2 linked regions of the Rattus norvegicus genome follow. The main gene of each other region encodes a partner of the protein of the gene in region 2 in a complex. Links are inferred from orthologs where the notes say so. Each region holds a gene or a part of one and is shown on either strand. Other genes may lie near its edges.

Region 1 (4,306 bases), on a different chromosome or scaffold from region 2:
TAACCTGTCAGGGGCAGAAGAAACACTTCCCATTGACAGAACAGGACTAGGGTGAAGCCAGGAGGTCCGGACCATAAAAAATCCTTGCCTCACCTCTCCCAGGCTATCAGATTGTCAGGCCTCAAAGCTCAACTTGTCAGGAGGCCAAAATCTTAACAAGTTGTTATGGGTTCTCTGAAAACAAAACTAAGATCCCAGGGAGGATTTGGGATTTGGGAGGGTAGGTTTAAATAGGGTTTCTTCTCCATCTCCTTCTCCTTCTCCTTCTCCTTCTCCTTCTCCTTCTCCTTCTCCTTCTCCTTCTCCTTCTCCTTCTCCTTCTCCTTCTCCTCCTCCTTCTCCTCCTCCTTCTTCTTCGTCCTGGTTAACTTGCGGCATTGCAAAATCAAGCTGAACCATCTACAGCCTCTTTTCCAGTGTTTGCCTAAACATGATCTGACCCAAGCCTCAGTGGGACCTCCACTGCAAACAAGCAAGCTCTGTTTGAGTTTTTGACGTACAAGTGTTCACCCTGCAAGCTGCAAAGGGCAGCCCCTGTTTCCTAGGCGTCCCAAGGGACAGGACAGGGAGTCTTGAAAACTCAAGGTCTGATCCTCTGGCCAGACCCTGACTCCCAGAAGGCAGCAGTTTGAGATCTCTAAGGTTGTGGGTTATTAGTCATCACAATAATTCAGCCCAGCCTGAAGAATAGTTCTGCCAGAACTGATGTCCCTTTCTGGAAGAACATTCCATCAACCCTTCCCTCTGATGGCCTCTACATATTCAGCAGACATGACTGGTACTATCAAACCTCACACCAAGCACCCCCCACCGCTCCCAGCCCCTTCCTCAGTCCTCACTGGCTCCTTTAATAACGCTGACATCTGACTTTGAAAAGGGGGAAACTGCAGCCTTAAAAGCTGGTCTTGGCCGAGCTGCCTGTGACCTGAATCTGTTATTTATAAGTTAAAGAGCTGGCTCCGTGAATCGGACCAGAAATATAACAGCCCCCGCTGTCATTTTGTGCCACCGGGACCAAAAGGCCTCTCGACCTTCCCGAGTCACGTTTCCCTTCTGGGCCCCAATGCACCTTTTAATCCAAGCCCTCTAATTGCATGTGGAGTTTTCCCTGACTCTGGCGGACAGCTAAAATGGCAATGTATTTCTTTCTAAGGACAAACCGGCCTTGATTGTCTCTGCCTTTCTCCACACCCGGCCATGCAAAACTTTTCATCCCTTTTTATCCCCCGGCAGCAGCACAGGCAGGGTCTGCCTGATGCCTGAGAGAGTAGGGGGCATTTGCAGCCAGGAGCATAGCTGATCCCCCCCCCTCTTCCCAGGCTCCCTGCTTGTCCCCCACCCTGACTACATCGGGCTTCCCCCTCTGCGACCTTCTCTGCAGTCCCCTCTGCACAAATGGGGCTGAGCTCCCAGCACAAAAGCCAGACTAGCTCATTCAAGTCCTGAAAAGGACAGCGATGTCTAAAGTACTTACACCGTTTCTGCCCGGGAAATTTTCCTCCTTTTTAAACTTCCCAAAGATTTTTTTCTTTTCTTTTTCTCTGAATTTTATATTTAGATAGTGGACAGAAATTTGCAACATGGGGCCTGGGAGGACGTTGCAGAAAGGAATACCACTCTTTGTTAACTACAAACTCTGCCTCTCTTTCCCGAACCAGAGAGGGCTGCGGCTGCTGCCAGGCAAGCCTAAAGGCATGAGGCTGTTCCTGAGCCGCGTCTTTACGTAAATGATGGACCTGTTGAGAAGCTGCCTTCCGCCGACTCTGGTGCCCACACAATCGGAAGGGAGGTTGCCTAGCTCTCCCCACCGATGCTTCAGCAATTCTGGCAAGTTCATGCCGCCGGGCGATGCAAGGGGCCCCGGGGGCCTCTCACGCAAGCTGGCTGGCTCTGGCTGGCGCTCTCTCTCTCTCTCTCTCTCTCTCTCTCTCTCTCTCTCTCTCTCTCTCTCTCTCTCTCCTTCCCTCTCCTCTCCTCCTCTCCTCCTCTCCTGCCCACGTATATCAACAAGCACACACATCTCCATCTCTACACTGCTAAGCCTACACTCCGATCGTGGGAAACAAAAACATTAAGCAATCACTAAGCAAGTGCCCGCAGAGCCAGGGCTGCGCGCATCTGCCGGGAGGGGGACGCGCGCCCAGAGGCGCTGGGGCCCAATTCCCGTGAGCCAGGATGAAGGGCAGGGTACTTTCCAGTTGCTGCAGGGAAAGGGAAGCCGCAAAGGATCTGTAGTCTGGACGCGCGACATAGGAAAGGACCGCCACCATGAGACGCGCGCAAGGCCACCGCAGAACCGAGCCTTAATGCCCTCGGGGCGTGCGGGCTGCAGAGGCGGCGAAGGCAGCAGGAGCTTCCTAGGAGAGGGAAAACGGGAGGGATCACAGCCGCCTCTGGCTTCCCGGTGGCCGAACCCACCTGTCTCTGCAAAGCTGATGATCTCAGAGACGCGCTCCTGGCCGTCGGCGCCCGGGCTAGCGTGGCCGTCGAGGTGCGGGATCTCCACGCGGCCGTCCTCGCGCACCTTGCCGGCGTGCAGCTTGCGCAGGGCCGTGACCATGGCGGCCTTGGGGACAGCGTGCGTGATGTTGGGCCGGCCCCGCAACTGCAGGCGGCTCAAGATGTGTCTCTTCACCGCCTCCAGGAAGTCACCGTCCACCCGGCCCAGCTCCTCGGGCCGCCGGAAGCCGCCGCCGCCGCCGCCGCACGACGTACAGGTGTCCTGCGAGCCGCCCGGAGCTCCGGGTGGCGGGGGCGGGGGCGGCGCAGCGGGCGACGGCGGGGGTGTGGGAGAGCCCCAGGCCTCGGGTCCCAACCAGCCGGCCGCCAGAAGCAGAAGGCAGGCGGCCCCCAACGCCCGACCGGGCAGCCCGTCCATGGTGCGCCGCTGGCGACGAGGGCGCCCGCCGCGAGGCGAGGCGAAGCGAGCTCAGGGCCGGGCTCCGGGCTCCGGGCGCACCGCCCCGCCCCGCCCCCGCCCGGGCCTCCGCCCGCCCGCCTGCCGGGAGCGCCGCCGCCGGCTCGCAGGGGGAGGGGGCCGGCCGGGCCGCGGGGGTTCCCGCGCGGCCGAGAAGGGGCGCCGCGGGGACCAGAGGGGAACGCGGGTTGGCGGCGGGGGGGGGGGGGACCGCCGGGTCAGTGGCGCGCGGGCGTCTCGGGGCGCCTAGGCATCTGCAGCCTGCCCATCCTCTCCGCGTCGAGGGCCACCGCAGTCCCCCGATCGGGGTGAAGCGAAAGCGAGGAGCGGCGGCAGCGGCGCTGGCACGATGGCTTGGCTTGGCCGGGCTGCCAAGGTGGAGGGAAGAGGCAGCAGCGGACGCAAGTCGCTCTGGAGACTGAAGCGAAGGTGCCGGAGCCCCCCGGGCGCGGCGCTGCGGAGGGCGCTGCGGCTGGGGCCCCACGACCGCACCTGAGCGCCTCGCCCTGTCGCTGCTCACAGCGAGGACACGGCCGCCCGAGGCGGCGGCAGTGATGGGCAGGTCGTTCTCCCTTGCTCCCGGCCGGCGGGAGGAGAGCGCGGTGCGGGGGAGCGCCGCCGCGCGGGCCCCTCTCACTGGCGGCGCCGAGACCTCCTGGGCGGCTGGCCCTGCAGTCCTCCGAGCGCGTCACCCGGCAAAGTTGTCTCTGGGCTCCCCCGGGCGCCGCATCCACGGGCGGGCGGGCCGCGGCGCGCTTCTCCGGGGCCTCCGCTCCTCCCTGCTTCCCTGCGCCCGGCTGCCTGCGCGGGCCGGCCGGAGCGGCGGAGGAGGGAAAGGCGGTGGCAGGGCCCTTCTCGCCGCTGTCTCTTCTGCCTGCTGCGGCAGTGGCGGCCAAAAGTCTCTCTGTGTCCCCGGGATCGAGTGCCCTGGCTCGTACTCCCACTGGCACACGCCGCAGGGCCGGGGAGAGAGCGGGCGGTGGCGGTGGCAGCAGCGTCCCCGCGCCCAGCCGTGGCTCTGAGTGCAGAGCGCGCCCGAGGAGTTCTTCGCTTTGCCTTCTCTTCCTTTCCACTCCCTGTTCTTTTTTTCCCGAGGGGTAAAAAAGCCGCACAATCTCCGTATGTGCGCGCGCGTTGAGATAGACGTTGGCAGGAAAAAAAGGGGGGAGGGGGGAGTGTCGTCCGGGCCGTGCGGGAGGAGACGGTCCGCGCCTCCCCGCTCGGGCTTCCCGGGGGCGGAGGGGGAGGCGGATTCTGCAGGTCGCTGCTGCCTGATCCTCCTCCCACCCCCTCTTTCCTCCGCTCTTTCCCTGTCTGCCTTGGCGAGGAGGGGGGAGGAGGCTCTCTCCTCCCTGCCCCCCCCCCACCACCGGGATGCCAGGCCACTTT
Region 2 (3,806 bases):
ACTAACCTTGAATGTTTATCCGTTATGTTTTCAAAACTTCTAGAACAAGGAATTATTAAAAAAAAAATTCCTGTTAATACTTACTGAGTGGTGTTGTATCAGGAGGTGGGAAGTTCTCAGTGAAGTTGACGTTACATAAGTCTGTACTACAGCAGCAAAAACGGTATGTTCCATTCTGAATTGAGGGTGGGGTGGTAGTTACTACACATTCTTCATAGTGGCACTCTTGGGGATCACCAATGTGAGACCAGCACCCTACAGATCAATATTAAAGCAAGTTAGGAAACAGTACAGTAAGGAAAACAACAGATTATGAAGTAACTGTAGCAGCCATATAAAACTAAGTAGTACAGTCATAAAGAAACTGAGTGAAAATGGTAAAGGGTTCCACAGACATCTCACGGGGAAGGCAGCCAACAAAGCGATTACCATTAGCTGCGCCATTACTATGAGAACTATTGAAGAAAGAGCACTTAGATTTAAATCGTCTCAATTAAAAAATTAATGGAATCGTAACAAAGATTCAGTGACAGTCACTCTCTTACAATTCTGTAATCAGTTTGTGTGTTAATTTTGGAAAAATATAGCAATTTTAATGTAAAGCCTTTAAAATAACCATATATTTTTATGATCTATTAATTCTACATTAAAGAATCTACTTTTAAAAAAATGAGAAAGGGGCTGGGGAGTTAGCTCAGTGGTAGAGCGCTTACCTAGGAAGCGCAAGGCCCTGGGTTCGGTCCCCAGCTCCGAAAAAAAGAACCAAAAAAAAAAAAAAAAAACAAAAGAGAGAAAAAAAAGCAATCAGACACAACTTTTATATATGTTTGAAGGTTTCCATTGCTGGATATGCATTTCAGTGAAAACCTTAAAACAGCATAGTGTTCAAAGCGTTTATGTAAACCGTAATACATATACACAGTGAAATATAGTGCTGAGGTACACATGTCTTCAGAGGGCATTTACAATAACATGGGGGAAAAGAGGTTGGAATAATATAACATTATTCTAATTTTAAAAGAAGACTGGGACTCATATAAATATTAAAATACATGAAAAATGTACCCAAGGGGGGGGAATCAACACAAAACTTTTTTTTTTTTTTTTAAGAAAAGTGAGTTGTAGACCTTGGTTTTTCTAAATAGTTTTTTGGGTTTTTATACAAACTTCATTCACAAACATTAACTTGTAAAGAGAAAGACATTATTAAAACACACTAAAAGGCTAGGCACAGTGGAGCATGACTTTAGTCTCAGCACTTGGGAAGCAGAAGAAGGCAGATCTCTGTGAACTCCAGGCCTGCCGGGCTACACAGTGAGACCCTATTTCAGCCAAGCAAGCAAATGAGCAAACTAACTACATACACTAAAAGTAAACTTCCTTTTATGAATTTGGAGCTTGTGGGTGAATTATAGATATATTTATGTGTTTATCTTATTTACTGGATAGGATTTCAATCCACCTACATGTCCTTTCTAGATAAGTTCCAACTGTATGAAAACAATGCTAAAGATATAGCCCTGCGCCAGGGAGCTTGCCTATGTGCAATGGTCTGTGTTTGATTCTCAGCACCCAAAAGAAAAAAAGCACAAAAGCACAAAGCAATTAAGTAAAAAAAAAAAAAAAAAAAAAAAGGTGTTACTTGGGGACTGGAGAGATGGCTCAGCTGTTAGAAGCACTCACTGCTCTTCCAGAGGGCCCAGGTTCAAATCCCAGCATCCATATGGCAGCTCACAAGTGTCTGTAACTCCCAAGATCTGACTCTCACACAGAGATACATACAAGCAAAACACCGATGCACATAAAATAAAAAGGTAAATAATTTTTTAAAAAAATATTACTTGCCTTGTTTCACAAGATTGATGTCCCCTTTTGATTTCTCCCACAGACCATAACATGTGCTCCCTTTGGAGCATAATATTGTCCCATTTTCATGAGAGATTCGACTCTCACCAATCCCAAGGTCTTGTTGATACGGGTCTTTAAATGCACACAGCCGTTCTTGATTCTGGGAAGCTGAAAAACAGAGCAAAGAACACAATGATAAATTGATGTTTCTTTGATAATACTACTGATTAAAATAATCTTTAAGATTTCATTTAATAATATATGATAATCTAATTTAAGTAAGATTATAAATTTTCCTGCTAAATTCTTCAAATTTAATTGTTGAATAAATTTTAAATTTTACATTTACCCAAAAATTTTCTGTTTCAAGATTTATGTTCATTTTTTTAAGCGTGTGTGTGCATATGAGTTCAGGTGCCCACAGAGGCGTTGGATGCTCCTGTAGCAGGAGTTAAGGTGACTGTGAGCTGCCTGGCATGGTTGCTGTGAACTGAACTTGGGTCCTCTAGAAGAGCAGTACACTTGCATTTAACTACTGAACCATCCTTTTATCCACACCCTCCAGCAATTCCCTTTGGACATTAATTTTTATATCCAAGCAATAAGAATTTAAAGAAAGTATATTCCCTGATGACAGACTTTTACACATATAATTCTTATCATTCTTTCTATTATTAAATATGTTTTGCTGTTCAAAAAAAGAAATACCATCTTCTGCAAGGGCATGGTGGTATATACCTTCAATTCCAGCAGAAGGACAGGGAAGGAGGCAGAGGCTGGTGGATAGCTGTTAAGTTCCAGGCCAACCTGGTCTACATAGTGACTTCCAGAAGAGCAAACGAGAGAGAGAGAGACAGAGAGAGAGAGAGACAGAGAGACAGAGAGACAGAGAGACAGAGAGACAGAGAAATACCATGTTCTAAACTAACCTTTAAAACCAACACAGAGGAGGCCAGGCATGATATTGGATGCCTTTAATCCAACACTTGGGAGGCAGAGGCAAGCAGATCTCTAAGTTACAAACCAACTTGGTCTACATAGCTAGTTCCCGGCCAGTCAGGCTATATAGAGAGACCGTGCCTTAAAAAGTGAACAGTCAAAAACAAAAATCCGGGCTAGAAAGATGGTTCAGTGGTTAAGAGCACTGACTGCTCTTCCAGAGGTCCTGAGTTCAAATCCCAGCAACCACATGGTGGCTCACAATGAGATCTGATGCCCTCTTCTGGTGTGTCTGAAGACAGCTACAGTATGTGTGTATGAGTGTAACATATATATAATAAATCTTAAAAAAGGAAAAGAAAAATCCTAAAAGCCCAAGAATTCTGAGCAAAAAGAAAATGATTTTATTTTGCTTAAAACAGCCGGACAAAATGTACAGCAGCTCTTCAAGGAGTAAGGTAGTTGTTCCTTAGTTTAATGCCGACCTGTGTTTCTTCATCTATACTACGTGATTTAGCTGACTCCAATAAAGCATTTGTCACGTGACTCACTGATTAACAAACACTAACCAGCACTGTGAAAGTACCAAGGAGGTAAAAGGTTATCAAAAGCACCATCTGATCTTTATTTAGGTTTTTTAAAATAGATTTTTCTAATATGTCTGAGTAGGAAAGATAATCACTAAACATAATCAATACTTTCTTATGACCTTCTGAATCAGTTCTTTATTTGACGTGTATAGAATTGGAATAGTATGATTCAGGAACACTTTACAATACATATTATTTATTAAATTAATGTTTCTGGACATAATTGAAGCACAGAAAAGGAATGACAGGCTTAATGACTCTGTCCACCCAGTTTACATAAATAGACCTGCTACATTTATTGCTATGTGAAGCACTTTCAAAGTACGAGGTCAAGTAAGCGGAATGTTTACAAGTAGGTATATAGTATTGCGGTTATCAAATTTTCATAATATAGTTTATTCTGACAAACCAAACCACAGATAGTAATCA

What was found.
Region 1: the proteins of Bmpr2 (region 2) and Inhbb are in contact, whole or in part, in a crystal structure (PDB 7U5O), measured with the Homo sapiens proteins. The link is inferred for Rattus norvegicus from reciprocal best matches to the Homo sapiens genes BMPR2 and INHBB. Residues at the interface, in NP_001195.2 of Homo sapiens: Tyr40, Tyr67, Leu69, Val80, Lys81, Trp85, Ser86, His87, Ile88, Gly89, Asp90, Gln92, Ile108, Gln109, Tyr113, Phe115; in NP_002184.2 of Homo sapiens: Phe309, Asn318, Asp319, Ile322, Ala323, Pro324, Gly326, Tyr327, Tyr328, Thr379, Met380, Ser381, Met382, Leu383, Phe385, Asp386, Asn390, Ile391, Val392, Lys393, Asp395, Ile400.

The regions. Positions count from the first base shown.
Region 1 is NC_086031.1:33,086,496-33,090,801, forward strand, and holds the start of Inhbb (inhibin beta B chain precursor), read right to left. Parts: upstream 2,879-4,306; coding exon 2,419-2,878; intron 1-2,418. UniProt on the Homo sapiens protein: Inhibins and activins inhibit and activate, respectively, the secretion of follitropin by the pituitary gland.
Region 2 is NC_086027.1:68,735,070-68,738,875, reverse strand, and holds part of Bmpr2 (bone morphogenetic protein receptor type-2 precursor), read right to left. Parts: intron 2,017-3,806; coding exon 1,846-2,016; intron 256-1,845; coding exon 85-255; intron 1-84. UniProt on the Homo sapiens protein: On ligand binding, forms a receptor complex consisting of two type II and two type I transmembrane serine/threonine kinases.